Linked DNA regions of Drosophila melanogaster. The protein of the gene in region 1 interacts with the protein of each later gene in a pairwise test. Each region holds a gene or a part of one and is shown on either strand. Other genes may lie near its edges.

The links.
Region 2: the proteins of smal (region 1) and ng4 interact in a two-hybrid assay, tested with the Drosophila melanogaster proteins (one large-scale study listed by BioGRID).
Region 3: the proteins of smal (region 1) and CG5823 interact in a two-hybrid assay, tested with the Drosophila melanogaster proteins (one large-scale study listed by BioGRID).
Region 4: the proteins of smal (region 1) and Ulp1 interact in a two-hybrid assay, tested with the Drosophila melanogaster proteins (one large-scale study listed by BioGRID).

Annotation. Positions count from the first base shown.
Region 1 is NT_033779.5:6,175,881-6,183,914, reverse strand, and holds the start of smal (smoke alarm), read right to left. Parts: upstream 4,783-8,034; 5' UTR 4,216-4,782; intron 1-4,215.
Region 2 is NC_004354.4:3,240,249-3,245,801, reverse strand, and holds ng4 (new glue 4), read left to right. Parts: upstream 1-1,581; 5' UTR 1,582-1,613; coding exon 1,614-1,787; 3' UTR 1,788-1,848; downstream 1,849-5,553. Other genes in the region: dnc (dunce), read right to left, coding at 1-729, 948-1,004; ng1 (new glue 1), read right to left, coding at 3,029-3,352; ng3 (new glue 3), read left to right, coding at 3,745-4,185; ng2 (new glue 2), read left to right, coding at 5,268-5,553.
Region 3 is NT_033777.3:17,529,635-17,537,393, reverse strand, and holds CG5823 (uncharacterized protein), read left to right. Parts: upstream 1-2,806; 5' UTR 2,807-3,275; intron 3,276-3,336; 5' UTR 3,337-3,470; coding exon 3,471-3,771; intron 3,772-4,063; coding exon 4,064-4,134; intron 4,135-4,194; coding exon 4,195-4,674; 3' UTR 4,675-5,069; downstream 5,070-7,759. Other genes in the region: l(3)07882 (lethal (3) 07882), read left to right, coding at 1-38, 100-205; P5cr-2 (Pyrroline-5-carboxylate reductase-like 2), read right to left, coding at 547-623, 696-1,361, 1,543-1,621.
Region 4 is NC_004354.4:19,200,447-19,211,178, reverse strand, and holds Ulp1 (Ulp1), read left to right. Parts: upstream 1-2,991; 5' UTR 2,992-3,145; intron 3,146-3,386; 5' UTR 3,387-3,419; coding exon 3,420-6,106; intron 6,107-6,242; coding exon 6,243-7,115; intron 7,116-7,187; coding exon 7,188-7,352; intron 7,353-7,411; coding exon 7,412-7,613; intron 7,614-7,692; coding exon 7,693-8,307; 3' UTR 8,308-9,076; downstream 9,077-10,732. Other genes in the region: CG14195 (uncharacterized protein), read left to right, coding at 31-340, 839-1,560, 1,633-1,981, 2,051-2,358; CG7990 (uncharacterized protein), read left to right, coding at 9,575-9,715.

The DNA.
Region 1 (8,034 bases):
TCGAAAAGGGGAAAATCAATTATTTTTTTATTCCCATGATGGGTTTTTTCAGCTCCATTACATCTGGAGTGACTTAAGTTTGCTCTTATCCCTCGGTTGCCATGCCTTTCCCATGCCGAACCCTTCCGCTGCGGCGAGCAACAACATTTGGCTCTTAACCCAGTAAACCTGGCTGTGCTCTAATTAAGCAAACATGTTGCCCATTTATTAGCAACCCTCGTCGTTTTGCCCCCAACTCCTTAATGACAAGGTTTACTTTGAACATTGTCGACACCTGACGTGTGGCCCTCGATGGAATGAATTCTCCTGGGAAGCGGACCGGACCCATAGATGGCACAGGGTTGATCTGTCCTGCAGTCGGGAAAATGAGGTCTACAAAACGGGAACACACCCAGCATTTGGTATCAGAACGTGTTGACTGGCCAAGACAAGAATTACGTTGCATGTATGACAAAGCTTTGTCAGCGATTACAGGAGTGGACACTTACAAATGATTCCATTTGCGATGCATATGTTGCCTCGATTTGTGTATTTGGCAACTTAGAGCCTAATTACCGAGCCAAATCATTTGTATCTGAGCTGAGACCTCCCGCATTTCGGTGGTTCGGTGGTTCTGTGGGTTGGGCTGCCTTGCGTTTCTTTTTTTGTTTGCACCGAGAAACTGGAAGTGGAAATAGGGCTGGGTCCAAGGCAGGGCTAATGACGCTACATTGTCTTGTGATGCGTATAATGTTTGGATGGATCCATGTCCGCAATCGACGATGTATATTTTCGAGATGAGCAAACGGCAGCGACTTGCTTCAGTGACTCCGACAAATCGACGGGGAGACACAGGCCTCTCATAATGCATATAAGACTGCCCTATTCAGTGATCACACATGCGGGAATTCGTCGTCAAGTTGATGAGCGGCGATTCATTTCCGCCGCGCATCAGAGGGCCAATTCAGTATTTCAAATACACATTTCATATGCAGCGATCGCCGTTTTGCGCAGTGAACTGTAACCGAAACTTAATTAGCTCGACGAAATCCTCGCCGTAGAAGGCACATCTAGGGGGCACACCCGGTGACATTTGCATAAAATATATATAGGAGTAGGAGGAGAATGTGTTCAGAAGGGGCCCAGATAAGGGTCACCACTATCGAAAGGAAGCCAAGCAGGAAATCTTAATGGATGTGTGGTCCGACTTGAGGAAAAGGGTTCGCTCGTGAGTTTGGCTGTTTGGCTGAAAGGGAAAGTGTGAGAACGCTATCTGGATCGAAGATACTGGGTTGAGAACCACAGAGGGCAACTTTGATCCAGCCACAATCTATCGTCCATTCCCAGCAATTACCATTAAATTCCATTTCAATTTCTTTCCATCAGCTTTCCTCCTTGCTGTCCAATCGCCAAACTCCTGACAGCTTGAAATATTCGAGATACTTTAACGCACTCAACTTTTTCTGAACTAATTAAGCGCCGCAGCAGAGCAAAAACCCAAAAGGAAACGAAACTGCTGAAAACCTCAAGTTGAGGTCTCTGAGCTTCCAAGACGAAACAACAAATGTGGCAAGCACATAACAGATTTTAAGGGAATGGAGCTGGCGCCAAGTCATTTCATTTGAAATCATTTCATTGGAAATTCTCAGCTGCGGATGCGGATATTTATGGGCACTTTGAGCTGCCGAAACACTCAACGTTTTTTTTCTCACAAGTACTAGACAACGGCGTCAGTAATTATTTTACAAGTTAACACAAGAACGCCAGTGTATAAAAACTAAAAAAAAAAACCAACACTGGCCATAAAAACCCAGCCAAACGAAACTAACAAACAAAAATGCGGAGTGGCAGCCACGAATTAGTGCTCCTGGCGGCATTTATACCCCTGCAATCGAAGAAAATGTGGCACCTGTGCGCCGTCTTGGCATCTGTGCCTCCAGTTTTCCCCCGTATCTGTATCTGTATCTGTGTACTTGTATCTGTATCTCACGGAATGGTGGCTATGTCTTTTGTGCGCCGCCTTCGGTTGGCGAGCCAAACAAATAAACTTGCGGCCAAGTTATGACAGTCGAGGGCCGCAGGAAACATTATTCTTAGTTAGATGCTAATTAATTAGGGGACGCGGAGGAGTTGGAGTCTCCGCCAGCAATTCGGTGGCAGCCATGTGGGCAGCGACACGATCTCGTCGAACCAGCGGCAAAAAAAAAGCCCGAAATGCACACGAGAATGACACTTCTTGGGTATAAATTTTGTTGACTGTTGTGTTTGCCAGCCCCTGAAAAATGACCTGGGGGATGCGATGTGTACAGAATGAGGTTAAATGGAAGTTGAATTCGTTGAAGAAGACACTAATATAAATTGCCGCACGTCGGTGGAATTTTACTTATTTAAAGAAGAAATATACCTTGGCATTTCAAATTAAACTTAAATAGTTCAAATGCGACTAGCTGGCTGTTATATTGCCATCGGATTTAATGGTCTAATTAGACATTTTATTATTTATTTTTGACATTGCATGAATGGGCTTTGTTTAGATTTTAATGAAAACAAAGTTTAATCAATGCTGTTTAAATGGATCCTTATTAAAATTGCAGAAGAACATGGTAAATATTGTTGCCCCATTTCCATCGTAATCCCAGCTGACAAAAGAAAATATTTTCCCCCCAAAAATTGAGATACACATTTTCATTTCGTTGGTAGATGGTTGCAGGTAAATGAAAGAGATGTGTGTTTATGTACAAAATAAATTCATAATAATTCCCATGAATTTCCAAGCTGCACACTTTGTATATTTATAAATATAGTTTTATACACCTTTTTTAATTCCACAAACATATTTCACATTTTATTCAACGCAACGTTTGAATGAATAACGTATTTTTCGGATTCAGTGGCAATGAAATAAAACTAGCGATTATTGCATTTCATAATTTCATTGCTAATCAATTTTATCACTTTGCTGTCTTAGTATTTTAGTTAGATTTGAATAAAATATTGAATACAACCTGTTAATGGTAGCTATGTGGATGCATCTATGAACTTCGGTGCTTTAAATTCTTTCACGCACATCGAATTATGGGTTTTAGGCGCAGTTTAAAGCAGATTGGGCAAATCTGCGGCAAATCTGTTGTTCATTGGAGGCATACTCAAACGTCTCATTACCATAATATAGCCAACTCAATTCCGCCTGGGCCCACCAACTTTTTCTACAATGGCAATAAAGAGTTCCCCTCGCAATCGACCACGAAAAGTTTTTTCAGCGGTATTATCATAATGATTGCGCCCCAAACGGCGCTTGGGGCAGATTGAGGGACTCGCCCGCCTGCTGCCAACTTGTTTACACAAATTTTAATTGGTGTAATTATGATTTTTACACGAAATTAATTATGCATGCGCGATTGCGGCTGCATCTTCGCAGCTCGCGGTAATCGCTACCCATCGGATGCCCAATCTCAATCTTAAATTTCTAAACCATCCCAAGTGAGCAAGAAAAATAACTCGAGTTATTTACAAAAGCTGATGATTGCGGGGGGAAAAAGCGAAAGCGAGGTCTCTGGAACTTTAATTGCCAAACATACTTCTACTTAATTACCCCGCAGAACAGCGGGAAAATTATGAAATCCAGGGGCCTCGTTGCGCGTCTAGCGGAGTGTGAAGTTGCCAAAGACTCGAGGTTGAGGTTGTACTGCGGAATATCTAGATACATAACTGCATCTGCGAGATAAGAATCTGTGTGCAACAGCCGTCGGAGGCACAAAGTGTTCGGAGAAAGATCTTTCTTTAGGAGATAAGGGCAGTATCTTAGCGTTTTACGACCTGCCGCCGCTTTTCTTCTTCGCTTCTTATTTATAAAATACAGCAGGTTAGTTTGATTAGCCCCAGATGTTGACAGCTTGGCTCTTTCTTAATTTGTGTTTAATTAATGAGGCAAGGGGACAGCCACCGTAAGAAATGGGGAGAACGGGTTGGAAATGATATCTTTTGATCTCTGGAATGCGCCTTGATGAGATACATTTGATTGGGCCAATATTCTTCTGGTTTCTTTTCGGATAAATGAATTATTTAGTTAGTAATTGACATAAACTTGTTTTTGTCGCACTAATTGATTGTTTGCAACTCAATATTTATTTATGCATTGCAAAGTCTCTATGGGGAAATCCTGTTTATTGACATGATTGCTTTGAGCATTGAGCACTGATTGTTTTCAAGTTAGGCCTTTCTTCACTCTCAACTCACCTAAATATTCCAAGAGTTTTGAATTAGCCTTTGCGTTGACTTAAGGTGTATATTGATTGTATTCCGTTTGCACTTTAGTTTGTAGCAAAAAACAACGATTTCTCTACTAAAATTTCAAGCACTGTTGTTCACTGGGGCAGCAAAAGATACTCTATCTGCTGGTTTGTTTCGATATGTTTGAGCACTCCGTGGGCATTTTCTCAGGTAGCACATTTCACACACTTTGCCGCACGCTGCTGGCGGCCGCAGGTGCACAATTGCCGCATCTTGGGTGCCACTTGCACCGTATCTTATTCCTGACCAATTCGTATCTCTGCACTCGCGCTGCGCGGATTGCGTATCCGTATCTGTCGGATCTCTTGGCGATTGGCTGCCAGCCGATTAAGCCTGAGATGGGTAACTGCGTTGATTCGCGACCGCGTTGCCAGTGGCCAAGGCGTTCTGTTCTTCTTGTCACGAGAGCTGGATTGAGACTGGGGGCACAAACTGAGACTGAGACGGCGGACTGCGACAGCGACTGCGACTCTTGTAACGCGCGGCACGAAGGTCGACGAGCGATTGAATCCGATTGAATGTAACGTGCAGCGCACCACTCCGTTGCATGTAAGTGTGGATGCTAAGAGAGCGAGCGCTTCTCTTTTGTGGACTCTGTTCGCTCGTCGGTGGAACTGTTTACAAAGTTTATGTGTGGAGAGCGCTGTAAAGGACCTGCAAGGATTTATATTATCAAATTAACATTTAAATCATAATTTGGAGTTGTTTCTATGTTTTTGTTTCCTTAAAACTTATCATTTAAGCTACAGTATAGTTTATATTGTATATGCTGCGCTAAAAACTAAGTTTTTCAATTCTCAGTAAAATTATCCACAATGGAGTTGAATTTACCTGCCCAGGCCCAGGCACTTCACCTGTGCTCTGTGAAAATCGCCGAGAAACTCCAAATCCGATAGAGTTTTTCCGCTCTCTTCCGGCTCGTATAAGAGATTTCCGTCTGCGGCGAATGTGGAACAAAACAAGAGCGAATTCGAACTGTTGATTTGTTTTTACCCTCCCCGACTTTTCCTTTCGCTCGCTTTTTCCGGCGAATCCGCCTTGCAGTCCAAATTGGAAATGGCGGACCGCCGCCAATCGCGGCCTCTGATGAATTTCCAATGATTGACGCCGGCATTAAGCCGAAATCGCACATACAACTTGTCATAATTTCCAGCAGAGAAATGCGATCTTGTCACATTGGTGCACCATATCATATGGACATGTATGATTTACGAACTCTACGGTTTTCGTGGGGCATGGGGATTTATAGCTACGCACTTGTAGATTGTATCGCAGAGGTTGTGGGTTGATTGATTGGTCTCACCAGTTGATCCGACCCTTTGTTCTTCGCCACTTTCGAATGTTTGACTCGGTGACACAATTTCGAGGGGCCCACAACGAATTCCTCGAGTGGATCGCCGCTAATCAACTGATATCGCTCCGGGCCAGATCGCCTATCGAAAAGCGAACAGCGTTTGGAAAGGCGTTATCTGGAAACCGTAACCAATTTGTATCATATATGGTGACTGTTTATGAAAGCAGTACTTCTTCTGTCTCTTTGTCTGTTTTCTTAGTTAAAAAAAAAAAACATGTTTTTTGTCTTCTATTTTATGATTACAGACACCCAGAAAGCTATGAATTGGATATTAATTTAAAAATATATACAAATATTCTGCAAGATTAATGTAAATGTTATTGACAGGACAACTCCAGCAAATCAAACATTCTGTCTTGTAGTCAATTTAACTTTGTACGTAGTTTTATTCGATAGACTCTTTGCATGTTCCTATCAATTGGCCATTTGTCACATCCGAGTGTACAAACAAACAGCAGACAGCAGAAGCATTGCCAACTTCCAACCATAACTCATACCCATTCCGGCCAAAGCCGTTGGGCATGCGCTGTCTGTCAAACGGCTTGTTCGCCTGCCCGGCAGTCAAAGAAATCAGCGGACGAGCGGATGAGCGGCGGCCAAATGGTTATGATCAGGAATTTACACAAAAATGCATTCAGCGCTGCTAATAGATATACAAAATACATACATAGATAGAACAAGCAAATGTTGCGTTATCACGAGTAAATATTTACATAGCCTTCAAGGACTCTGTGAATACATCAACCCCATGCTGCGATACTGGCATAGTATCTTTTGCCACATTTGTTTATTGTCCCAGACCTTTCCCACTCCATAAAGTATTTATAGATACTGACATTCTCGATGGACTGCTTTCGAAGATTAAAAATTCTATCAGATACCCATTACTGTATTTTATCTATTGTGCAAGAACGATAGCTGTTGACACGACGGTTGATCCTGATGAAGAATTCATTCCAATGCATCTGGACTGATAGCCAAATATAACAAGCAAACATACGCCATTTGGTTTACGCTGTGATAGTATCCATGAATCGAACTGATAAGTTCCTTGAGTCCTCGTTCATGCAATGTAAGTATTTGCTTATGATAACGCGACAGCGTGCCACTCTGTATTCTTCGGACGAAGTTTGTAAATTTATCAGCCGCGCTGATTGCATTTTTGTGTAAATTCCTGTTCATAACCATATATATATACGCCGATTTGTTTGACTGCCGGGTAGGCGAACAAGCCGCCTGACAGACAGCGCATGCCCAACGGCTTTTGCCGGACTGCGACTGAGTTATGGATTGAAGTTGGCAATGCTCCGGCTGTCGGCCGTTTGTTTGCGCACTCGGAAATGACAAATGGCTAATTGATAAGAATAGACATGGGCGACACATTTGGCGTTTCCTGCAGGAAGCAGTGAACCAGCCGCCCAACTCCCGCACGGCGTTCTAACGTCGGTCGTAGTGGGCCAGGAGCAGAAGTTTTCCATTCCGCCTGATACACTTTAAGGCTACCATCTCGGTCCAATCCCCCGCCCGCCAACTGCCAAAGTTTCCACTGACTTGGCTCACAAGTTTGCCCTAATCCGTCCCACTCCCCAATGGAGCCACTGCCGCACTCCGCGCACATCGATTCAATTGCCCCTCCGGCGAGGAGGCTCGCCATTCAGCTCACGTACACGCATATCAATTGTTACTGCTGCGAGGCTTTGGCAAATGATGGCCCGGGAATGGGTGAATGAGTGAATGAATGAATGGGTGAATGAGCGAATAAGTGAATGGGTGGGTGGGTGAGTGACGGGTTGCCTGCCACAGCTATAGCTTGTCTTGGCCCAACTTCGACAGCCGATGCCTGCCCATATTCAGATTCTATATTCATCATATTGACGGAGTGCACTGAAAAAAGTTCATATCGGTTTGGCAAGAATTATATAGTAGTACTTTGATATCAATAAATAAATAAATAAATAGTAAATGAAATCATAAATACATGCATTAAATAAGCAGCTGACTAAATGAGGATCCAAAACTGAAATCTAATTCCGGGCACACTCTAAATGGCCGAAGGACTCTTCCAAGCAAAGTTCCATAAACTACGTTTCTAAGCAGATTTTAATAACTCACTCTGCTCCAATCTGGCGAGAACACTGCCGGTGGCCATCCCGTCCATCCATCTCCGAGTTCTTTTGACTACTTTCTAATCCCCGAAGCGCATCAACAGCAGCAATTGCAGCGCAACAGCAGCAGCAGCAGCAGGAAAATGTTCTGGCAAGTAAGTGGAATTGCCCCCACCGATGGCCAGTTTGTGCTCCAACTGGACTGGGGACTGGGCTTCTGCTCTTAACTCGTTGATGTGTTAATTGACCAAAGGTTCGTACACACCAGATGCTGGCCAGTGGTGGAGGATGAGGAGATGGACGTAA
Region 2 (5,553 bases), on another chromosome or scaffold:
AAAATGTGGTTGTGATTGCAAGAGTGGTTGCTGCAGCTGCTGCTGCTGCTGCTGCTGCTGCTGCACCACCGCGGTGGGTGAGACACTGGCGTCGCTCAGTGTTTCTGGTTCCGCTCGGCGGGCAACCAGACCGCTGGCCAAACTGGCGGCCGCTATATCCGCCGCACTCAGTTGCTGGTCCAGCTCCTCGTCGACGTCGTTGATCAGGGTCTTTAGGGAAATCGGGGTGGTCACCGATGTATCGATGGTGTCTGCCAGCGAATGCTTTTTCGTACCGCCGCCGGCGCCGCCGTATAGATCCAGCTCAGATCCGGATACGGTGCGGTTCAGCAGATCGTCCTCCTTGTTGTTCCGCTCCAGTAAGTCGCGCTTTTGCTCCGCGGACTTTTCCAGATTACAATCCTCCGGAATGACCTTGAGCTCGTCCGGCGTCTGGGCTGGTGTTTGGGGCGGACTTGTGGCGGGGGCTGCGGAGCCGCCCCCGCGACAAGGGAGGCAACACCGAAACACTGTGCCACCGAAGCACTTTGTTCTTGCCTTTGATTTCCGCTTGCCACTCCCACTGCCACTCCCGCTGCCACACCCACCGCCGCCGCTGCCACTCCCACCGCCCCCTCCAACGCCGCCAGTGGCTGCCAGGCCGTTGGCACTGCAGCTGCCACCTAATCCCTGGCCGTTTCCGGTCCCGCTTCCGTTTCCGGTGCCGTTGCTACTGCCACTGCCGCGATGCTAAAAATGCAGAGAAACCAAATACTTATATCAATATAAATTTCCTTTTTTTTTCTATCATATTCAAGAGTGGTTTAGTCACAAAATATACAATTCTTCATCTACACATGATTTGGCCTTTAAACGTGTTCTATTGTATATTTCTTGGCAAGAACCAAAGTTTAAAAATTGAAAAAGAGCATATAAACGGCTGTTTTGAAGCCCATTTCCCCCACCACCTTGGCCACATTCTTGTTAAACGAGAAACCCTGCGTAAATCGCGCCAATCGCATCATTCCCACTTCGGTTGGGAGCTATCTGTTGCGCGAAAACATTTTTTTTTTCTATCAAGCCGAGATCTGTAAAGAAAGAATGGAGAAAAAAGCGAATTAGGAAACAGTTGCTACAAATATAATTTATTCTAAATAAGAAATATTTTAAAGATTTTAAATAACTAAGTACCTACTATACCTTACTCTATATACATATACATCCACTTCCTTAACTGCAATTCTCGCTCAAATAGTTTCTTTATGACAATTTTGTTTAATATTCCGTTAAGTTTTACATTCCCCGACGCATTTCTATGTCAATTAGCGTTTAAATTCGCATTTCGACTTGGCCATAGCGCTTGGCCACTTACTTTCCCCCATTTTCGATTCTTTTTTTTTTTTCGCCCGCCTGAAAGTATTCCACCTGGCGGCTGGCTGTGCGGATGAAAGTGGGTTAGTCACATATTTGAGCTTGTACAGGGACAGACGCCAGCTGCACAAACTGACCCACATCCTGGCTGTGTGGCTATATAGCTATATGGCTATATGGAAGCTTTATACACTTTAGCTTCCCCTTAATTAGTACTTCGTCGGTCATCGCAGAAACCGCTGTTATTTTGGGCGAGAGAGATAATGGAATGGAAACTGCTGCTAATAGTCCTGCCCTGGCTGCTCGTATGTAAAATTTTTTATAAGGTCGAGGACTTTACGGAGCCTGATGTCGCTTACCAAAGCATTGACTATCATCCCGAGGACTACATCGATTCCTTCACCGACTTTCAGAAGCATGACTACTTTCAGTATTGAGAGTATGCTGGTGTTTCCTTTTTGTTTAATTTTTTTTTTTGTTTGTTAAAAAGTCTTGAATAAAGCGTTGTGTATGTTGAATATTAATTAAGCGAATATATCTATGATAAACTAATGGGCAAAATTGGAACGTCATGTTGAAAAACATGATCTTGCTCAAGTTTGGTTTGCATTTATCTGTGCGTTCAAATTAAAAAATCTCAAGTTAAGTAATCAAATTGAAAACATAATTAAAGGGTAAATATTAATCAATGGCTTTAAAACGTAAATATTAATCGTTGGATTTAAAGGGTAAATAATCAATGGATTTAAAACGTAAAGATTAATCGTAAATATTAATCAAACAATTGTTTAGCAAAAACATGATCCTATCATCAGCCTATTATTATTTAAACAGACTTGTGGGAAAGACCAAAATGGTCATAGACTGGGTTATTATAGAAAATAATTGTACAGACCAGCTAAATTTATACGACGCCACATAGACAAAACATCTTTGAACAAGTGAAAGAGAAAGTTCGCATACATTTTTGCATTTAAATATAATCAAGCAAAAATATTCAAATATTTAAACAATTGACAGAAAACCCATTTGCAATGGTTCAAATATACAATAGTATTCAATTGTAGACGACGCCAGTTGACCTCGAAAACATAGCAATCTTTATTGCTTACCAAAATTTTTGCATTCGGATATTTGCGAAGTCCAAACATGAATGCTACATAAGCTAAGGTAAACAAATTAAGCATTATACGTTTTAAGTTAATCTCTATTTTTTGTTTGTTCAAGAGACAAAAGCAGCACAAAACACAGCTTTTTTTTTGTAGCACACTTTTGCGGGATGATTGTTTATTAAAGCTTTCATTTTATAAGTGAGAAAAGTTACTAACCTAAATGATATATGAGCGAAAGATCATACAATTCTTAGAATTTTGAAAATGCAACTATGATCAGCCGTAATATTACTAAATAAATACATATAATTAACACAAACTTTTTCAACTACTGATAACTTTACATTCAGTCAATCTGTCAACCAAAAAAAAAAAAACATTTTAAACTGATTTGAAAAAATGCAGAAATTCAACATGAGAAATACTATTTCATTGATTTATATATTTGCCTTATAAACGAACAATATTGCTATTTCATTATAAACTATTCAAAAGTTAAGTGCTATGGTTGTCATTGGGTTCAGCATTGGGATTGGAGTGGATTTCCTATTGGTCCTGTGGATCTTTCATTCATCGGATCTGCGACCATTGCGGCTCCTGAGACCCCTTCTCCTTGTGATTTTCCTGACCTTCTTTGGCCTCTTGACCTTTCGCTTATAGTGAGTGACAGTCTTCTTTTTTGAGCTCGAGGAAGGTGAGGCTGTTGTTGTGGTGGCCGAAGCGGAAGTGGTGGTGGTGGCCGAAGCGGAAGTAGTGGTGGTCGCCGAAGCGGAAGTAGTGGTAGTGGCCGAGGCGGAGGTGGACGTGGTGGTTGTGGACGCCTCCGACTCGTGGATCATCACACAGCCGAGGAAGGTGGCGAGAAGTACGAGTACCACGGTGATCTTCATGGTGAGCAAATGCTACAATAGATGCCTTGCTACTGATGCTGTCTTGAAGAACGAAAGCCAGCTTTTATAGTAGTCTTCTCAACTGGGTTTATCCTCTTTTGCAAATTTTTGTCAACAGTTTTGGCCAAAACAAAGGGAGCGTTTTTGCAGAACAAAAAACCCGCAAGTTTGTCAATTGTTCATTGTGCCCAATTGTTCAAACAGTCAAGTAAGTTAAGTGCAAATATATAATATAACTTTTAAGAAATGCCCAATTATGTATGTCCAATTTATATTCGCTACGCAAAAGATATGAAAGATTTTGTTACGTAATTGCTTAACTGTGGTAATTAGTATAAAAGACCACGGCCTCTGGCTGCAGACATCAGTTGTCCAGCCACTGGCCATCCAACATGCGCTACTCCTGTGTTCTTTTACTTCTGGCCACCGTTGCCTGTCTGCTAATCCCACAGACAGGTGGCTCCACGGCCACCACAACCTCAACTTCTGCTTCGGCTACCACCACCACTTCCGCCTCGGCCACGACAACCACTGCGTCGGATACAACTACTACCACAGCGGCTACCACAACCACTTCGTCCTCCTCCTCAAAGAGTAAAAAGAAGAAGAGGACGTATCACTATACACGTCATGTTTATAGGCCAAAGCGGATACGACATATCTATAGGCACAAGGCCGACGACGACGAAAGCTCTACCGATCGCACCAGCACACGCAGCCGTCGTCGTCGCCGCAGCAGTAGCAGCAGTAGCAGCAGTGGCAGCACCAGTAGCCGCAGTGGTAACAGTCGCATCCGCCGCAGGAGAGCCCGAAGTGCCCGACGCCTGTCTTAGTGACCACATCTTGTACAACAAACCAACTGATCTGATCGTGACGCCTTTGAAAATGTAGTTTTTCTTTTTGGTTTTCTTTTTTCCGTTCAAAACACTTAAGGCAAATAAAATGAATATTTCGATATTAGTTCATTCTGCTTATCAATGCCGCTTAAAGCATTTACTTATGCTTTTACTTATGCATTTACTTTACAAAACAGATCGAGATAAGAAGCATCACTTGTTGTTTAAAGTGTATGTCAAGTTCGTTACAACGTATAATTAACCATTGAAATTTTGATCAAATAGTTACTTTCAGAAAAAATATAAAGGGCATACTCCTACAATAAATGCTATATATTATAATCTTAAGTATTATTATCTACCCCAGACGTTATTTAATATAGTTAATAATAGCGCTTTCCTAAGCTACGTACACAATGTGTTTGTTTGTCTATAATTCAGACAAGCTACAAATGAAAGTAAACAATTTATGGCAAAATCATTTTAATTGGTTAATATTTTTCCATTATTTGCTTAAGAGAATAAGTTTAAAGCTGATGTGTTCCGTGTTTTAAAAGCCGTAGTATACTTTTTAGGGGAAATTATTTAAGTGGCAGAATATATAGTTGAATATAGTATAGTATATAGTATATATATAGTAAAGAATCTATATATATAGTATAGTATATAAAGTTGAATTTTTCTGCAGTTTTTACAATGCGTTTATCGTATATAGATTTAACCTAAGTCATTTGCATTTATTTAAAAACCAAGTAACGGTTGACAAAACTAGACTTCCGTTGGCATTAGTGGCTTAAGTGATTTTTATAATAACAGTTAATAAATTTTCGCAAAATGACAAGCTCCATACAAAAATAGATTATCATGCCTCTTGTACATGTGCAAATTTTATCTGTTTAAACAATTGTGCCAATACGAAAAATAGCGAATTTTTGTTTGGCCAAAAATAACATCTTTTCTTTGGCTGACACAGTTTGGCCGAAGAGGATAAACCCAGTAGAGAAGACTACTATAAAAGCTGGCTTTCGTTCTTCAAGACAGCATCAGTAGCAAGGCATCTATTGTAGCATTTGCTCACCATGAAGATCACCGTGGTACTCGTACTTCTCGCCACCTTCCTCGGCTGTGTGATGATCCACGAGTCGGAGGCGTCCACAACCACCACGTCCACCTCCGCCTCGGCCACTACCACTACTTCCGCTTCGGCGACCACCACTACTTCCGCTTCGGCCACCACCACCACTTCCGCTTCGGCCACCACAACAACAGCCTCACCTTCCTCGAGCTCAAAAAAGAAGACTGTCACTCACTATAAGCGAAAGGTCAAGAGGCCAAAGAAGGTCAGGAAAATCACAAGGAGAAGGG
Region 3 (7,759 bases), on another chromosome or scaffold:
TTCGTTCAGATGCTTAGGCTCAAACAGACCCTGCAAAGGTTTGTGTTCCATTTACAATTTAACCGTTCCTTTCTAATCTATTGTATTTCATATCCACAGTGACAAGGAGCGCCACGAGAAGGTTAAGCGCATTTACCAGGAGGCATCCGTGCAACAGGGCGAGCTCAATGAGCTGTCCCGGGCCAAAAAGAAGAAGAAGTTCTAGGCTCGACTTTGAATTAGTTATTTTTAGCTAGACTATAAACAAAGCTGAGAGTAAAGAATATAGCAGTGTTGCTTATATTTTAGTATCACGAAATCGGCCTTCACAGTTTTTATAGTTATGCAAAGCTACTAACCCAGATTAAGCACAAGGGTGGGTCGATTAAAATGAAACATCTCATCATTGCTCTTTGAAAGCACTATAGCACCAACATACATTTCCAAATTAAAAACATGTTTCTTCAAGAAGCAACAAAATTTAACGACTTCCTTTAACTACTATAACTTTAATAACAAAATTGACCCACCCCAATGTACGTATATGTATATGATAATCCTATGTGCCTACTTCGTCTTTCCCGAGATTTGCCGGCATCGCAGAGTCGCCTGTTCCACCGCTCCAGACACCGCAGCCCGAAAACCTGCAATCGACATCAAAGGTTGAAGTGGCGGCGATAAGCGAGTGCGTCATCGGCGTCATCATCCCAACTTACCTGACAGCTCGAGTTGTCTGAGTGCCGCTGCTGTCGATCCCGCCGGACTTGTGACCCCATCCTTGAGTTGTCCGGGATGCATACCACTGTCCCGCACCATGTGACCTGCGCCCAGGACTGTTTGCGATGCCAAACGATAGGCCAGATCCCTGGGCATGCCCATGTGAACGGCTCCATCCGCCAAGGCCTCAATCATCACGAATACATAGGCCGGTCCACTTCCGCTCAGAGCAGTAACCACATCCAACTGGGACTCATCCACCGGCTCACAAGTGCCCACGGACTGCAGCAGCTTCTGGGTAATATCCGCATCTGCATCTGTGGCCTTGGATCCGCGAACGAAAACCGAACAACCGGAACACACGACAGCCGGCAGATTGGGCATCACACGGATGACGCGAGCTTGTGGAGATAAACTGGACTCGATGGTGGACAAAGTGATGCCCATGGCCACGGAAAGGAATAGTTTGCCCGAGCTCAATGGCTGAATCTCCGACAAAACCGAGGGAACCACTTGGGGTTTCACGGACACGAAGACCACATCCGATTGCTGCACAACGGGTGCATTCTTGATCACTGTTTCCACTCCCAGGGATTGAAAGGACTGCAGGGAGAGCTTATCTGCCGGATGGACGCTGGCTATCAGGGTATTGGGTTTGGCCAGGCCTAGGAAATGAATTAGGAAATTTGGCGATTATATGATGAAATCCTTAACGTCCTATCCTTTTGTATCTAATTATAAGATGATGTTAGTTCATATATATATTGCATATCCAAGTGTGTCTTATCTATTGTCTAGCACAAAGTATGTCAGACTACAAATCTATTTTATTAGTGGCTTTCTCACCGGCCGCTAGGAAACCCTTAGCCAAAGCCTTGGCCATATTCCCGCCTCCCAGGAATCCGATCTTTCCGATTGCCGACATTAGTTAATGGGTTAAAAAGTCCGCGGACTGTGAGTACTGAACTTTCTGCTGGTGGAACGGCAACTGTGCGCCCGCCGCCGGCGTTGACCAAAAACAGACGCGAGGATTGATAAGAAATCTTGCCCGGCCAACCCCCTCCCAATCCCCTGCGTTGAGGGAACAACACACCCAGCGATCTGAGCTTATCATTGAGGTTCCTATGTGTGGGTTCGGCAATCGACAGCGGGGCAAAATAATAATAAATACTAAGAACTTTTCACACATTGTAAATAAAGAAAACATTAAACTATTAATAGTGCTGTTTTACAATCGAATTATATTTGAATAAAAATAGTCATTAAAATCCACTTAAGATAGAGACAAATTTTTAATAGATCATAAATTACAACCCATTATTTAAAGTGAAGTTATTATGATTTCAGCTTATATAACAATCAATTATAATATTGATTGATAATATTGATTATATATAATATGTAGTTTAAAATACAGTTCAAGTGCCGCGATTGCTAATATTTTGCCCGCCGTTGTATTTCCTTATCATTTAGAACAACTGTCATCCGCAACTCATTCACCCATTAATCGGCGTGACGAAGTCCAAATTAATGCGAGATGCCGATGCCCTGTAATCCCTGTAATCGTGCGTTGATCCACTTTCGTGTTTTGGATTCCATTTCTATAAATTTCTATATAGCTGTACTCTTTGGCAATCCTTACTTACCAAGTTTCAAAAACATTCCGCACTTTAAGAGATAACAATCGTTATCAATGTGAGCGTGATAACAGTAGAGGCGATATACACATGCTTATTTGTAAAGGGCTACATTAGAAAACCAAAGTATTTACTTTGTATATTACAAAATATTGCCATAGGGATTTTGGGACATACCCGGGTATACTAGATACGTTGGAAAGTAGATACCGCCTAGTAAGCAATTTTCGAAAAGAGTTCTTTCTTCTTTTTATCATATCTCGCATTAAGTAACGGGTATTTGATAGTCCAGCAAATCGGCTAAAACTAAAAGATCTATATTTACTGTTTTCAAAGAATTGCACAGATTTGAGAGTCAGTTAATTAGCGGATACATACACCACTCCATCCAATTTTCTCACCGTATGCAGCAAAGTTTCCCTCCTTCACCACGTGGTGAGGAAGCCAACATAGACTCTGGTAACACTAAACTGGAGATGAAACTTACTTCCGCACACGGTACCACTAAACTCTTCATGCCAAAATAAAAGATTAAATTAAGATATTGCCAGCTCCAAACCCGGATATATAACCCCACAAGTGATTAATACGAATTAGGGGCATCCACTGTAGCGGAGTAAGCTCGTGATACTACCAAAATTTACCAAAGTCAAGCCCTAGTTGTCCCCTACACGTGTGTGAGTGTGTGTGTGCGGGTGTCGGTCGTGTGCGCCTGTATATGTGCGTTGTTTTCTCACTCAATTTCATTGCAATTTAAAAAAAAATCAACAAAAACGCAGTAACAGCAGCAACAACAATTAGAAAACGCACTTGTTACCGAGGTTGGCTGCCAGTACTAGAAAAGCAAACAATAAACAACCGAGCTGGCGAGACTGAAATCCATCGCATGATAAACACACCGAACAAGAATCTTCGACAGCTTCGAAATTCTGGAGAAGGACGGTACGTATTGGTATTTATGCGACCAGATACGAGTATAATTGATTTGCAAATTATTCCACAGGGCCACGTCGCTATCTTATCTGCTACAGTGAGAGAAAAACCAGTAGGCCAGTCGTGTTCGATCATAGTTTAGGTTTTCAAACTTGGGCGGTAGTAATTAAGTTCGTTAAAAATTAGCAAAACCAAAACAACACCATGTCCTCGTCGTCGACGTCCGGCGGCCGGAAGCAACCCACTGCTGTGTCGCGCATGAAGCAGGACTATATGCGCCTCAAGCGGGATCCCCTGCCGTACATAACCGCCGAGCCGCTGCCCAACAACATCCTCGAGTGGCACTACTGCGTCAAGGGGCCGGAGGACTCGCCCTACTACGGCGGCTACTACCACGGCACCCTGCTCTTTCCGCGCGAGTTCCCATTCAAGCCGCCATCCATCTACATGCTGACGCCGAACGGTCGCTTCAAGACCAACACCAGACTGTGTTTGAGTATATCAGGTATGTGTCAGTTCCATATCCGTAGGAGTCCGAATCCACAGCTAGAAATAAAGCGGATTGGTTGTCACAGTAGTAGAACATTAAAGAATGGGTAGTAACTACAGGCTTAAAGACTACCATTAACTTTGAACGCTGAATAGTTTTAGTTATGTTTGACGAAGCCGATGGACTTTGTGGCTTAGTCAAACATGTTTTTTGCGACCTTTCAAATAGATATTCGTGTATCTGTTTAGATCTGTTTAGATTCTATTGTTCCAAACATATAACTTATCAACCCTATTGGGATTTTCAGATTTTCATCCGGACACTTGGAACCCGACTTGGTGCGTAGGCACCATTCTCACTGGACTGCTGAGCTTCATGGTGAGTTATTACGAATACATGATCATACGTTTGAGTAAGCCAATCTTAAATCCTTCACAGCTGGAGAGCACACCCACACTCGGATCCATCGAATCATCGAACTATGACAAGCAAATGTTTGCTCAAAAATCACTAGCATTTAACCTGCGCAACACCAACTTCTGTGAGCTGTTTCCGGAGATAGTCGAAGAGATCAAGCAGCGGCTGCGAGGAACACAGGCGGCAGCTGCTGTGGACGGACCCGCTGCCAATGGAGTAAAGCGTTCCAACGGACTGGCCAACGGAGCGAGCCTGGCATCTGCGGATGGCAATCTGGCGGTGGGCGGCTTGGCCAATCCACTGAATGCAGCGGACGCAATCGATGGCGGGGCGGCGGGTCAGGCGGATTTGGCCAGCGGCGGAGGAGCGGCGGTCCAGAATAGTGCACGGAACTCCTATCTAAACTGGCAGTCCGTCTATTCAAACCTGGTGATCATTATCTGCTTTGCAATTTTTGCCCTCATTGTTAATTACGTGATCAAGAACCTGAATCAGGAATAGAATTACCGACACAGCCTCTATATTTATATAAAGAAATAGTTACACATCCGTATGCGTGTGCATATCTAATCTAGTTTACTTTAAAATAGTCTTCGTGGATTGTATACCGCTTGAGAAGTATTTACATACCCCGCTTGATTCAAAAACAACCGCACTAGACCCCCGGCATCCATTCCCACGATTCCCACGATTGCTGACTTAGTCTGAAAATTATCGGCAGCAAAATTTGAAAACACAAGAACACACAATTCAGAACTCGACTTGTGAAATTTAAAAATTGTTTTGTTATGTATTCATTACTATTAACGCCTAGTTTAATGCAACGTGAATAATGCCAGAAATATGTTTGTAAATGAATAAAGAAGCCCGGCAACATATGAGCTCGTGTACAAATTAACCAATATATGTGTGCGTTTCTTGATTATTAAATGGATCTTCATTTTCAGTCGCCACAAATTGCTTGGATGTTGGATGATTCAACTTGTATAATAAGTTGTAATTTGTAGTTGGCTTTTCGCTGGCTAAGCGGCTTAAGTATGAAGCAAAGTCCGCTGGCAGTCGGCAATAATTTTTCCTCACACTAGCTAAGTACGGCCAAATCCAATAAACTGATGCCTGGCTGGGCAACAATGTTACACATTTAAACCGCTTACATTGTTGGCCATCTTAAGCCGAAATTACACACATGACGCTTATTACTCCTGGAAGTGGGCGTTGCGGACCAAGTTCGATGGTTACAGTGAATTGTGGTTACCACAATCTATGTCTTTGAAGTAAAAACAATCTATGTCTTTGAAGTAAAAACTACAGAATAATACTATGATTTTTTTTTAAAACTATCTATAACCAGTATATATATTTATACGATATATTCGCTTTGTAGGAATATTTTATAGATTTAAAGTCGTTTTAATAGTTTTCCAGGAAAATAAAATACTTGCTGAACAATAACAGATTTATAGAGAAGAGAGTTTAGAATTATTAGAAAATTCGGGAAAAGAAAATCCGATTACCCAGCAGACGCGGCAAACTCCTTTAAAATAAAAGGACGCAGCGACGACTTTGTTTTGCACAGAAAGTTTTTTTGGCCAGACGCTGAAGTTGATAATTTAACTAACGTAAATTTCAAGTTCAGGCAGCATGGCAAAGTTTCCGACTGCGGCTGGCACTCGCAACTTTTCAAATTTGGTTGTTTGTTTTATGAACTTGCAACAGTTTAAGCCAATTTCGGCTGCACTGAGGGAGAAAACCACCAGAAGATACACAACATTAAATGATATCCCGGATGGCCAAAGAGTCCAAGACACACAGACCCCATAACCGAGACATTTCTGGTCCTGTCATCGAGTATTTTTATGCGGGCTGCCGATGGGCGGGGATTTCGGAATCGCTTGTGCTTTTTGCTCGAAATTTATTTTGAGTACCCACCAGGATGGCAACTGGCGTCTAAGTCCGAAGTGTCTCCTGCACTTCCGCCTTATCCTTTTGATGCTCGGGCGGATGTGCAATTTTTGCTCATTTGTTCTTGGCATTTATAAGCTTCAGTTTGCCCGAAAAGAGGTCACTGGCATTGTGGGTCCAAGGAGTTCATTGTTCGCCGCCGAGCTGAAATCCCCAAAATGTGCCAGGCTTAAATGTCCAACAAATAGCTGCAGGACATTAGTTGACGGCAATAAATGTCGATGCTCCCGGGCTAAGCGGCTTATCCACAGCAAATATAAATATGCGCGAGTAAGCTTGCGAAAACAAAACACAAATGGAGTGGTCAACGGCTATTCGATGCGATGGCCACAAGGGGAAGTCGGCCCAACGGGGCTATAAAAATAATGACCAAAACAAAACCAAGTGCCCACGGCCAAGACGGAAGGCCAGATAAATAAATGTAAATAAATAAAAAAACAAATGCCATAATCATTAAGTACGCCTCATTGGCGGACATGTGCCCCGAAGTTCCTGGCCATCTGGAGCTGCCTTTATGCGTTCCGTTCTGCACAGGAGAAAAATAAATAATGGCAAAAATATATAGGGTTTCAATATATGGAGAGCCCATTAATACGTAGCTGATTTCAGAACCAAATTTTATTAATATAATATAGGGTATATCTTACGGATATAAAAAGCAAACACTTAATATTAATTAAATGGTCATATTAAAATATGTTAATGTTAATATGTTAAAATTTGAAATTGGTGTTTAAATAATGTCTTACTTTATATTTCTCATTTTTTTTTCTCAGTGTCATGTGACTTGACCAACCAGGGGTCGTAAATGTTACACATCCGCACACAGAAAACCCACACAATCGCAGGCCAATGCGCATATAAATGAAATGTTTGTTAAATTATGTGGGCAATATACGTTTATGCCTGTGTCAGTGTGCGCAATAAACGATAAAGCATAAACTTAATATGCAAAGGCCACGCGAAAATAGCAACAGCCGAAATGTATGCTATGTTTTCCCTTTCGCGTGTGGGCGACTGTGTGTGTGTGTGTGTGTGTGTGCGCAGGCATATGAGCATTCGCTTTATCAATGCATAAACAAATGGACATCAGCTGCGAGTTATGGCAGGATTGCCTAAGCGAAAGGGCAAGTGGGGTTAGACGGAAAAAGGACCTCATAAGTCTGGTGAAATTTAAAAATAATTAGTCTAGGGATAGAGTGAAAATTAAGTTAGATTTTGGTATTCATTTATGTAAAGTACACTTTACTTACCCTAGTCAAACTTTCCCTGCTCTAGTACCTTTGTTATTATTATAATTTATATGAATTTAGGAAATTTAGGATTGCAAGTGGAATTATTTATATATGCATTATTACATTTTATGTGTTACAACTGGGTTTTTAACAAAGTTAAATAATTCAAGCGCTCGTTAGCCATTGAGTAAGTAATCAAAGGTATAAAAGATGATTTTCTGCAGAAAACAGAAAGTGTACATTCATTTATTCCGCTTGAACATTTGCATAAATCGATAAATGATTATGGGCAAGGGCATTCCAAGTGGCCACATATGTACTCATATGCAACGAAAGGATGAGCAGTGGTGGGGATGGCCAATTGGAGGGCTGGACAATCGTTAATTCAT
Region 4 (10,732 bases), on another chromosome or scaffold:
TGTTGTCTCTCTAATCCCATTGAGATCTAGGCTTTCCTGGCCACACCCGCCTATCTGTACGGGAACGTGGTGGAGTCCGACAAGGATCTGGTGTTGAGGATATGGCCGGCGATCGTTTACCAGGCCACAGGCGAGCTCTGCCGCTCGATCATGGAGCACTTGGACACAGAGTACAGTGGCAGATCGAGGGAGACGACGCAGTACCGACGGGTCTTCCTCCTGGCCACGCTCATTGCCTGCGTATCGCTGATGGTCAGCGGGATCCTGTTCTCCTCCGCCTGGATCGTGGTCACAACCACCACACAGGTGGTAGCTATTGTCTTCTACGGATTCTTTGCAGGTAAGTTACCTGGGATTCAGTCATCCGTAACAAGTTGGGGCTAATCATCTGTCATCTGCAATCTCAAGTCCAAAAAGGCGGGAAGCCTTTTGTACAGTTGTGCTTATAAACATAGTTGTGCCTGCGGAGTTTATTATTTGTGACAGCACTTTTAAAAGAAAGTTTAGGATATTTTTCATACTTATTCAAATAAAACGACAGCTTCGTTGTGATAATAAGTCGCTTATCGTATACCCAATATATCACATATCACGTATATATATATATTAGTGGGTGTCATTATTACACTGCACGCCTTATCAGTCCGATTTTGTTTATGTATTCAAATATAAATGGAATTCAATAATTTCATAGTTCTATGCCGCAAGGAGTTCGATTAAAGAATCAATGATGTTAAACTGTGCCCAAACTAAAGTTAAACTTAAGTTCGACAGAATTTTTTATTTTCAAAGCGGAAAAGCGACAAATTTAACACAACATTCTATCGCCTTGTCCAAGGTATCGGCTCCAGCTTGTACCTGTGGAAGACGCACGTCATTCTGGAGGCAGTGCGTCCGCGGGAGGACAAGTACGTCCGCAAGACGATCCACCTGTGCGGCGAGGCCTTCTGCCAGCTGTTCCTCTCGTTCGTGTTCACCAGCCTGCGCACCTTGTACGGCACCGCCCAGTCCATCGTACTGATGTCCGCCCTGCTGGTGAACCTCATCCCGCTGAGCCTGATCATTACCAAGCATCGCGAGGATGCCTTCACCACGAAGCGGATATCGGTGATCAAGGCGGAAACGGGATTCGCTGCACTGCCGCTGCGAGCCGCACTGGCGGCCAACTTGGTGGCGGACCAGCTGGACGGATTGGACACGCTCTCATGGCGGAATCCGGCCACCACCGAAATGGCCACGCCCAGTGGTGCCGTCGCCGCCGCTGTGGTGGTGGACACGCACAGCAACTACATGCTGGCCACCGATGAGGCGTATGTGACGTATGTGAATCCCAACGGGGTGGAGATTATGGAGATCATACCCGAGGAGGACGAGACGGTGTCCATGATGCGGTCGAGCAATGCGACCATCGACAATTATGCCATGTCCGCCTCGCAGATGTCGCACAAGTCCCTGTCCAATGGACGTCTCTATCCACTGACGCCCCAGCATCCTTTGGGCACAGGAACGGGAACTGGTACAGGTAGCTCCTCACCCCTACCTCCCGATTATGCCAACCTGGTGAGTAGTGCGCAGGCTTTGTGGAATATGGTGACCGGATGTGAAACCTTTCCGTATGCTCCTCATTTTCAGCGCCGCATCCGGCGGATGTCGCGTGCGGTAACCACGCACCTGTGGTGGAATCTGCTGGACAAGATCGCCATGCCGCTGCAGCAGGCGCTGCTGGTGCCGCAGCTGTACGCCACCACGCTGCTCCTCTCGGCGGACATCTTTAGCTACGTGATGTGCCTGACGGTGCTACCCGGACTGGCGGTCAGCCACCATGCGCTGAAGAACGCCGAGATCCCGTTCCTCTTCTCGCTGCTGGCCTTCCCATGGATGTGCTTCTCCCTGATGACTCCGCGCTTCGGCACGAGCCTCTATAAGCGGAAGCTCCAGTGGCACACGCTGGGCAGCATCTGCAAGTGCCTGGCGCTGATCTGTGAGTCATGATACCCGTTTCAAGCTTTCCCCGGGCCATCAATAGATCCATCTTTTGTTTCGCTTCCAGTCATCAGCTTCTCCACCTCCAAGCTGCTGCTCAGTGTGTCCGCCGTGCTGCTGGGATTTGGCCAGGTGGTGACCGCCTTTCTGCAGGAGCTGGTCTTCCAGATGGGCATGACGCGGGCCAACTGGACGGCCATCCGCCGTCCGGTGCACTTCACCAACGGCCTGCTGGTTCTCCTCTGGGGCGCGCTGGCCCACTGGGTGGTGGAGCGGTACTCCTTCCAGGCCACCGTGGGACTGGCCGGCGCCCTTTACGGAACTACCACGCTGCTCTGGAACTTCCTCTTCTTCTGCTGCCAGAGCAAGGATTGAGGGACTGAAGAATTCGCGCACTCTCACACAACAAGGCATCGTGTATGTGTGTGTGTGTGTGTGCTGCTGTGGCTGACGTTGTTGTTGTATTTGTGCAGTGATATTAATAAATAAATATATAAACTATAAGCAAGCTACATACATTTTAACATAAGTCTTAAAAGTCTTATTACGTCAATTTGAAAAAAGAATGGAATGCTGGCCTTTAAAATATCCCTAAAGAACTGCTACAGAAGTAGCTATAGCCTTTTAGCTATTTTTCCATTAAGCTGTGCTGACTACTGTACTTTGGAAATGTGGACAGTTTTTTTCCGATTAAAATAAGTTTAAAAGTATAAAATGTTGCGTTCATTCTAGAGATTGGTTCAATTTTTTAGAAATCTGTCGCACACTAAAAAAAATGCATGTTCTTACAAAATTCGCTGTGTAAGAAATATTGAAAATATTGAAATATTATTGGAAAATATTGACGAAAAATTTCCCTTTTCACCGAATTTGTCGTATTTTTACAGTAAGACTAAATGCCGTTATTTCCTCAGATATTTCTAGGTAATTACATTCGCTGCGTGACGAAAGCTGCCTGCTATGATGCGGCAGCCAGACCCAACACTGTTGGCCGATATCGATTGGTTTGGTATTATAGAGCAATATCTTGTACGGTCATACTAAGGCACCAGTACGCCAAAACCGAAATTTTCTTTCTTTACTCAATTTTCATCGAGCTAAGTTGCGAAAATTTTCTCAAGTCACAGTGAAAAGTGTACATTGTTTAAAACCTGGCCAAGGGGTAAGTGTTTGTTGCAAGGCGCTTGTGGTGTGGCACTCAGTGCGGTGCAATAGCAGCGTCGGCATTTTCCGGCGGCCGCAGAAGTGGCACCAAGCAAAGACGGCGAAAAACAGCGAAAAATGCGCAAAATCGGGCTTCCTTTTTGCCGGCTCGTTTTCCTTTTTTGCTTATTCTTCTTCTTGCGATTCTTGAAAGCGAATGCGTGTGGAAAAATAATTTCTGATTAAATTTCAATTTGCAGCTAAAAGTAGCGAAAGCGGTAGCGAACACACGCATGTCGCTGCCTCCCGAGGACACCGATTTGTCCACAAATTCCGCATACGAATCCGCACTCCAAATCGCGAGCAATGTGTCGGCAGCACGAGTAGTCGGTTCGGCAGTAGGACAGCGATTTTCGCCGTCGCCAGCAGCTCACCCGAACGTGATTGAGCGCGTCGCGTCTCATGTGGACTCACGCCGCAGCACGTTTCCAAGTTGGGGTAATCCGTCAGTAGCGCCAAGAGGATCGGAAGAAGCAGCAGCCAACGCCACAGCAACACAACTCCTATGGGCGGAGAACCAAGGTCTCCCGACATCGCACTTATTGCCAACTGAACAGGCATTCGAGACATTGAACACTAATGCGTATTGTTCCCCGCCAGGGGATTCACGATTTACGTTCCCTAGCCAGAACTACTCGCCGCTGCTGCCGCGGTGTGTCCCAGTTCCGAATCAGCGTTACTCTCCAGATGGATCGCCAATACATCAACTCCATGAGCTGCAAAATTGTCCATTGATAGATTCGCCGATAAGACTGCGATTTCCATCCCCCTTGCCAGAACCACCATCACTACCGACCATCACCCTTACAGTTGATGCCCTGATCGATCTTGACCAAAACAACCAGGTCGCATATTATGTCCAGCAGTACAACAATCAGCCAGTCCTATATCAACAAAACATTCATATAGGAACGGGAATCCAACTATGCGATCAGGCCTCCGAGAATAATCAACCGATTATATTACATATCGTGGAGCACAATCCCCAGACTATAACTGAGAGCCAGGAGCAATTCCACCAGGTTGTCCCCGAAATTCAAATCAATAATATCCAGGAGCAAGATCAGAAATTTGAAAATGGCATCTCGGAACAAAATCATCCGATTGCAACTGAGGCTCAGGATCAGACTTTAACTGAGATCCGGGATGAAAACCAGATTGTCCTTGCAGTCCAAGAAAAAAATCTCACGCGTGCCTCTGAGATTCAGGACCAGAACCAACAGACATTAACCGAGATCCCAGAGAAATGTCTTCAGATTGCATCTCCTGTCACTACTGATATACAGGTACAAAGTCCTCAGGTTGTAATAGAGATCCAGGAGCAAAATCACCAGTCTGTAACGGAGATCCAGGAGGAAGTTCACCAGACTGCCCCCGAAATCCAAGTGAACGTTTTCCAGACCTCGTCTGATATTCAAGGGCAAAATCACCAGATTGTAACTGAAGAGCAAAATCATCAGACTATAACCGAGACCCAGGAGGATTACTCGGCTGTCTCCGAAATCCAATGGGAAAATCTCTCGTTTTCTGCTGAGATTCAGGAGCAAAACCAGCAGATCGTAACCGAAGTTACGAAGCTTGCATCTCCTTCTGTTACTGATATACAGGCACAAAGTCCTCAGTCCGTAATCGAGATCCAGGATGACGATGATGAAGATCTAAAGTTCGAATCTGATGATCTGCACACTATACCTGAAATCCAGGAGAAAAACCAACAAAGTCCTCAGTTCGTAATCGAGATCCATTATGATAATGAAGATCTAAAGTTCGCATCTGATAATCAGGAGCAAGATCAACAAACAGCCGAGCTCCAAAAGGAAAGGTTCCAGTTCGCATCTGAAATCGAGAAGCGAGATCTGCAGATTGTTACTGACACTCACAAACAAAATTATCACAATGTAACCGACATCCCGTTCGCAACATACATCCAGGAGGAAAACGAGCAGTTAACACCGGAAGACCAAGAGGAAGATCAACATTACCTGAATTTTGAGGGGAACCAACAATTCCAGCTCCAGAAGCAAGATCAGCTGAGTGTACCACAGATCCAGAAGCAAACCCACCAGTTCGAATCTAAGGTCAAAAAGAGAAAGTTGCAGCCCTTTTCTGAATACCAGCAGAAAGGTCAGAAAGATCATATCCAAGAGAGGCAGTATATTCAGCAGGAATTCACCATCCACTCTAACCAGGCTTATTCTAAGGTCCAGTATATACAAACTATACAAACTGCGACTCCGTACGTACCTCAATTGGAAATATCCCAGGAAAACAGTTTTGAGGTTCAACCAGCATACGAGGTAAACGAAGGCCAACGGGACAGAGAACTGGTTAGTTACACAGGCCACGAGCATCAGAACTTTGTTGATGAGGTCTCGACACCATTACCGCCCGCTGAAGCTCAACCAGGATCTACTTCAGAAGATATATCAGACCCCGTTTCACCTGAACATTGGGAGCAGCTAGAGTCACTCGATCCGAGCACTATTTGTATTCGCAAAACCTTCAATCTAATTCGCGATATCTCTGAAAGTCTGGTGGCCGATCCAGAGCAACCCGAAGCCGAAGCCCACCGGAAGTCAATTTTCCTTCTCCGCCAGAAGCTAGCCGATGTGTGCCATAAGGTTCTAACCGAAATTATACACGGCCGGGCCACCGATGAGATCATCTCCATTCTGAGAGAGATTCTCGAGCAAACTAAGGAAATACCTCCACGCCCCACGCCGAAAAGAGACCTCCAAGAAGACATTTCGATGGGCTTAGAAATATTAAAAAAGATCCGTGGTATGCTATCCGGTTGGTATTCTTCCAGAGAAAGCGAAACGGACTCCACGGATACCGGAACGGGATTCCAGGCTCAAAACGGAAAAGGTTTTGGTGCCGGCCGCCAGCCGGAAAATAGTTTTTTATCCCAGAAAAGACGGTAAGCATTAAGAATTTTATGTTATTTTTAATTTTGTTTACCTAAATCCAACTAGGTAAGCCTGCGCAACAATTTTATGTCATTCATTGCTACTCCCATGTAAAAATTTCAATTAATGTTTTTTCTCTACTTTCAGCAACCAAGAAGAGAACCCTCGTCTGATCAAGTACCGGCGTGTGGACAACAGCTTTCCCCGCTTGATAACGAATGAGACGGCCGAGGACCTGATTCCCAACAATTCGATGGCCAAGCGGGATCAGCCCCAGAGCTCAAAGCGGCTCTCAATATTTAATCCGCCGGTATACACGCAGCACCGAGTGCGCAATGATGCCCCCCACGTACCTACGCCATTTGACGATGAGGAGTCGTCACAGAGACTTGCTAACGCGGGCCCATCATCCAGGCCCATGACTTACTCGGATGCGGTGCGTCTAGGCCATAATGGCATCTCCGAGTCGCGCGTAAATGGGCACTCCAGCCATACGGTGCGCAGAGAACCGTCTCGGCTGCACAGAAGCATTCTGTCCCACGAGATGAACTGCAAGGATCAAGAGCAGTATAACGAACTTATCCGTACCCAAACAAATTACGTGGGCAGTCGCTACCTCAAGCCGGGTACCCCGCCAACGTTTCAGCGGGCTAAAGCCCAGTCGGCAACCAGTAGCAGCTGCTCACTGCAAGACAACCAATCGAATATAACAGATTCGTTCCCGTCGCCACATGGCCGTGCGAACCCTGAGCTAACGGAGTACGCCAAATTGATCAACCGCCAGGAGAATGAGGAGAACAGGTCTCCGGCACCACAGCAGCCAAAGCGAAACGCTAGCAATAGCTCTGCCAGCCATGCGTCCACTATTTCCAGCAGCGCATCTTCCTCCTGCAGCACTTGTTCAACTTGCTCATCTTCTGACACTGAGCCAATGTTGGTTAAAGATAGCCCGGAGGTCAAGGAAGCCAACGAAGCCAACGAGGCCAACGAAGCCAACGAAGCCAACGAAACCAAGGAAAAGTAAATAAATGCTTTATATCCAAACGTAAATAATTTGCAATAATCAAAAATCCTGATTTTATCACCAATTAGTGACGCACCTCAACCTACAACTACCAGAATCAAGAAACCAGACTTCTTGCACCGTCGCTTTGCCAACTGTATCTTTCTAAGGAATGACTTTGCGGAAAATTTCAAAGCAAGAGCGAATCGCCGGCAACTTGAATCCATGCATCTTCTTGGAATAGCTGAACAGCAGTAAGTATTTGTAACGCTATAATTAGGCCCAGTACCAAGAGGCTTTTTTCCAATTTTAGGGCTAATGAAAGCAAAGATGAACGCCTTGCCTATGAAAAAAAGCTGCGGGAAGTCATGTTCCGGTCTGGTGCTCCCCACCGGCCCTTTTTTGAAATCGGGCCCCTGGAACAGCCGGAAGAGAAGAAAGAGACCAAGCTCATTCCGCTAACAAAGGAGGACCACGCTCGCTTTCAAGAAATGACAACTATTGAGGTTACGACGGTAAACGAATATATTTATTTATTTATATGTGTACCCATTTAAAACGTTTATATGCTTGCGCTTTAAAATCTTATTTCAGAACTTAATTTTCAAATATAACCTACAAATAACTACCGACGACATATTCACGTTTGTTGATGGCGAATGGCTTAACGACGCGATCATCAACTTTTACATGTCCATGCTGACGGAACGCTCGGAGAAGCGAGCTGGCGAACTTCCCGCCACTTACGCCATGAACACATTCTTCATGCCCCGTCTCCTGCAAGCTGGGTATGCAGGCGTTAGGCGCTGGACTCGCAAAGTGGACTTGTTCAGCAAGGACATAATACCGGTGCCAGTGCACTGCGGCAACGTCCACTGGTGCATGGCCATCATACACTTGCGTAACAAGACAATCTTCTATTACGACTCAATGGGAAGACCAAACCAACCGGCGCTTGATGCTCTAGTTAAATATCTGCACGAAGAGTCACTAGACAAGCGCAAACAGCCGTTTGATATGACCGGTTTCGTTGTCGAGAACGCGCAGAATATACCACGTCAAGGGAATAGCAGCGATTGCGGTGTCTTCAGCTGCATGTTCGCCGAGTATATAACGCGTGATGTTCCGATTACCTTCTCCCAGGCGGAAATGTTGTACTTCCGCACGAAGATGGCCCTGGAAATCGCCGACGGAAAGTTGTGGCAGTAGGGGTTCAAGCACAAAACTACGCAAAAATGGAGAATTCAGTTCTTTACTTATTTTTACAAATCTTACGTAAACACTCCAAGCATGAATTCGCGACAAGTACTTAGCCATCGAACGAACTCGTTTATTCGATAGAATCGAGATGGCTGAGACCCCTGCTGGTGCATTAACTTGTTCTCATATCTGATTGTAAAAGAGAATCTATTTCTTCAATAAAATGTCACCAAGTAAAAGCGATGCGAATAAGGATGTATTAATCGCCGAATATCTTCAAGTTTATAATTAATATTTAGAATACAGCAAGCTATGAATATGTACTAATGTAATGTAATGTACTGCTCTAATCCTAACTCTAAACTAGGAATTACTGGATTTCATATTTTTTTCTTACATTGTCTTTTCTGTTTCATATCGTTAAGTTGAAAAGATCAGAGCCGCTGATAATTGAAAATCATACTAATACTCCAGTTTATTTTTGAATTTATCGGTTTTTTTTTTTTTAAAGAAAATGTCGCTATATTCCTATAAATTAGATAATATTAATAAGGAATCAATCTTAATTTAGTATTTTTGAAAATGTAGCTTATTCAAGCAAATACTTATTATACAAATATAGGTAAATGTGGGTTAATGGTATTAGTTTTGTTTTTGTAAAGATTTTCTCTAACCCTTAGGAAGTAGTACACCTTTCATAACCTAAGGTACATAATGTAATATAATTTATTTTTGCAGAGCGAACTAAACAGAAATATATATTAAACAAAAAATATATGAAAATTCTATGATGCTTTTCAAATCATCCACAGGGAGGAGGATGCAACAAAAGGGGCCAAAGTTGTGACAATTCAAGTTGTTTATTCTAATCTCGAAAAAAGACTTGATTGTTTAGCTTTTTCTGTCTTATATCAAAATTTCGAAATAGATATGCCTGATGCCCGCTAAGGTCGAGCGATCAGTGTGACCCTGCCAACAAAGCATAACGGTAATAACAAAAGCTAACGGTATATCGCCAGTGTGGACATGCCACCCCAGACGGGCAGTGCGACCAGGCCGCGCAAGAAAGCAGCCACTGGGAACACGGCCCGCGGATTAGCAGCAGTTGCGAGAGAGGCGCGCGCGCGGTCACAACTGGGCGACGGCAGCGATTGGGGCATGCAAATTATGCCAAATAGCACCATCGACGGGAGCACGAGCACGAGAAGCAGCAGCAGCAACAGCAACGCCACAGCCAAAGTCATCGCCAGCGTCAACGCCGACAACCGAGCACAGAATGCAGCAGAGCACCGGAGCGGCGACGTCATCCGCAGCAGATAGCGGGATGGGGGCGACGGACCTGGTGTCCAGGTGCGTTGGCGACGGCGGGGGAGGTGGCGGGAACAGCTGCTCCGGCGGATCCAGCGACCCAGCAGCGGTGAGAGGCGTTTTTCCATGGAGTTGCCCAATTTTGTTGCTTTCCACTTTTTCTTCTTGTTCTTTTTTTTTTTTAAGTGTTCGTGCGAACCAGTGTGTGTATTTATGGTTTGTTTGGCCTGGCCAAAAATTATATAACTTTAAGCGGAGGCAGCGCACGCTTAGTGACACCCCCAAACCCTCCTCCTCCTTATCATCCTCCACCATCACCCATTTCACCCCGCTGCTCAGCAAAAAGCGTTGTAAACGCGCACAACAACTGTGTGTGTCCGTGTGTACATGTGTGTGTGTGTGTGGGCGAACGTTTTATTTTCCATGCTCCTCCTCGGCTCGTTTGTTGTAATTTTCCGCAGTCAGCGCGCATGCCACCCCCCTGCTACCCCCTCCCACCATCCCACAACACTTTTCACACCGAAAATATTTTCAAATTAGTCCAGAAATCCAGAAATGCTAAAAGCCATTTTTGCAACAAAATAAAATGAAACCAAATTTAGCACACAGAATCAGTGGATTTAAAAACAATCACAAGTACATATTTTTACTCCACCAGTTATTCCGTAAGGCTAAGTAATCAAGCTAATAATATTCCTTTCGAAACCACAATTCTCTCTTTAAAGCCGAAAGAAAGCTTACCACTTACAGGAATAGAGGTGTTCCACAAATGGCTAACTTGCTGAAACTCAAAAGTTTATTGGATAACCAATAAGTACATATAATGCCATACAGAATAGAATTGATATTTGAGAATCCCTGTAAATGTATCGTAAACTGCATGAAATAACGGATGAATCTTTTTGAACTGCAAATACTTGATTTGTAAACCCAGCTAAGTTCTAGAAGTTTGGAAAATATTGAGCTAATGAAAAATATTCTCCGTGCATTTCTGCTACACGTTTTCGCATTTATTTAGTTTTTCTCGCTGGCTTGCCTAATTTTCGAAATGCGTGTATTTACACAGGCGGCGCTTGTTTGTTTGTTTCTCGTTTTAATCATTTATTCGATTTCGCCATGTCCTTGC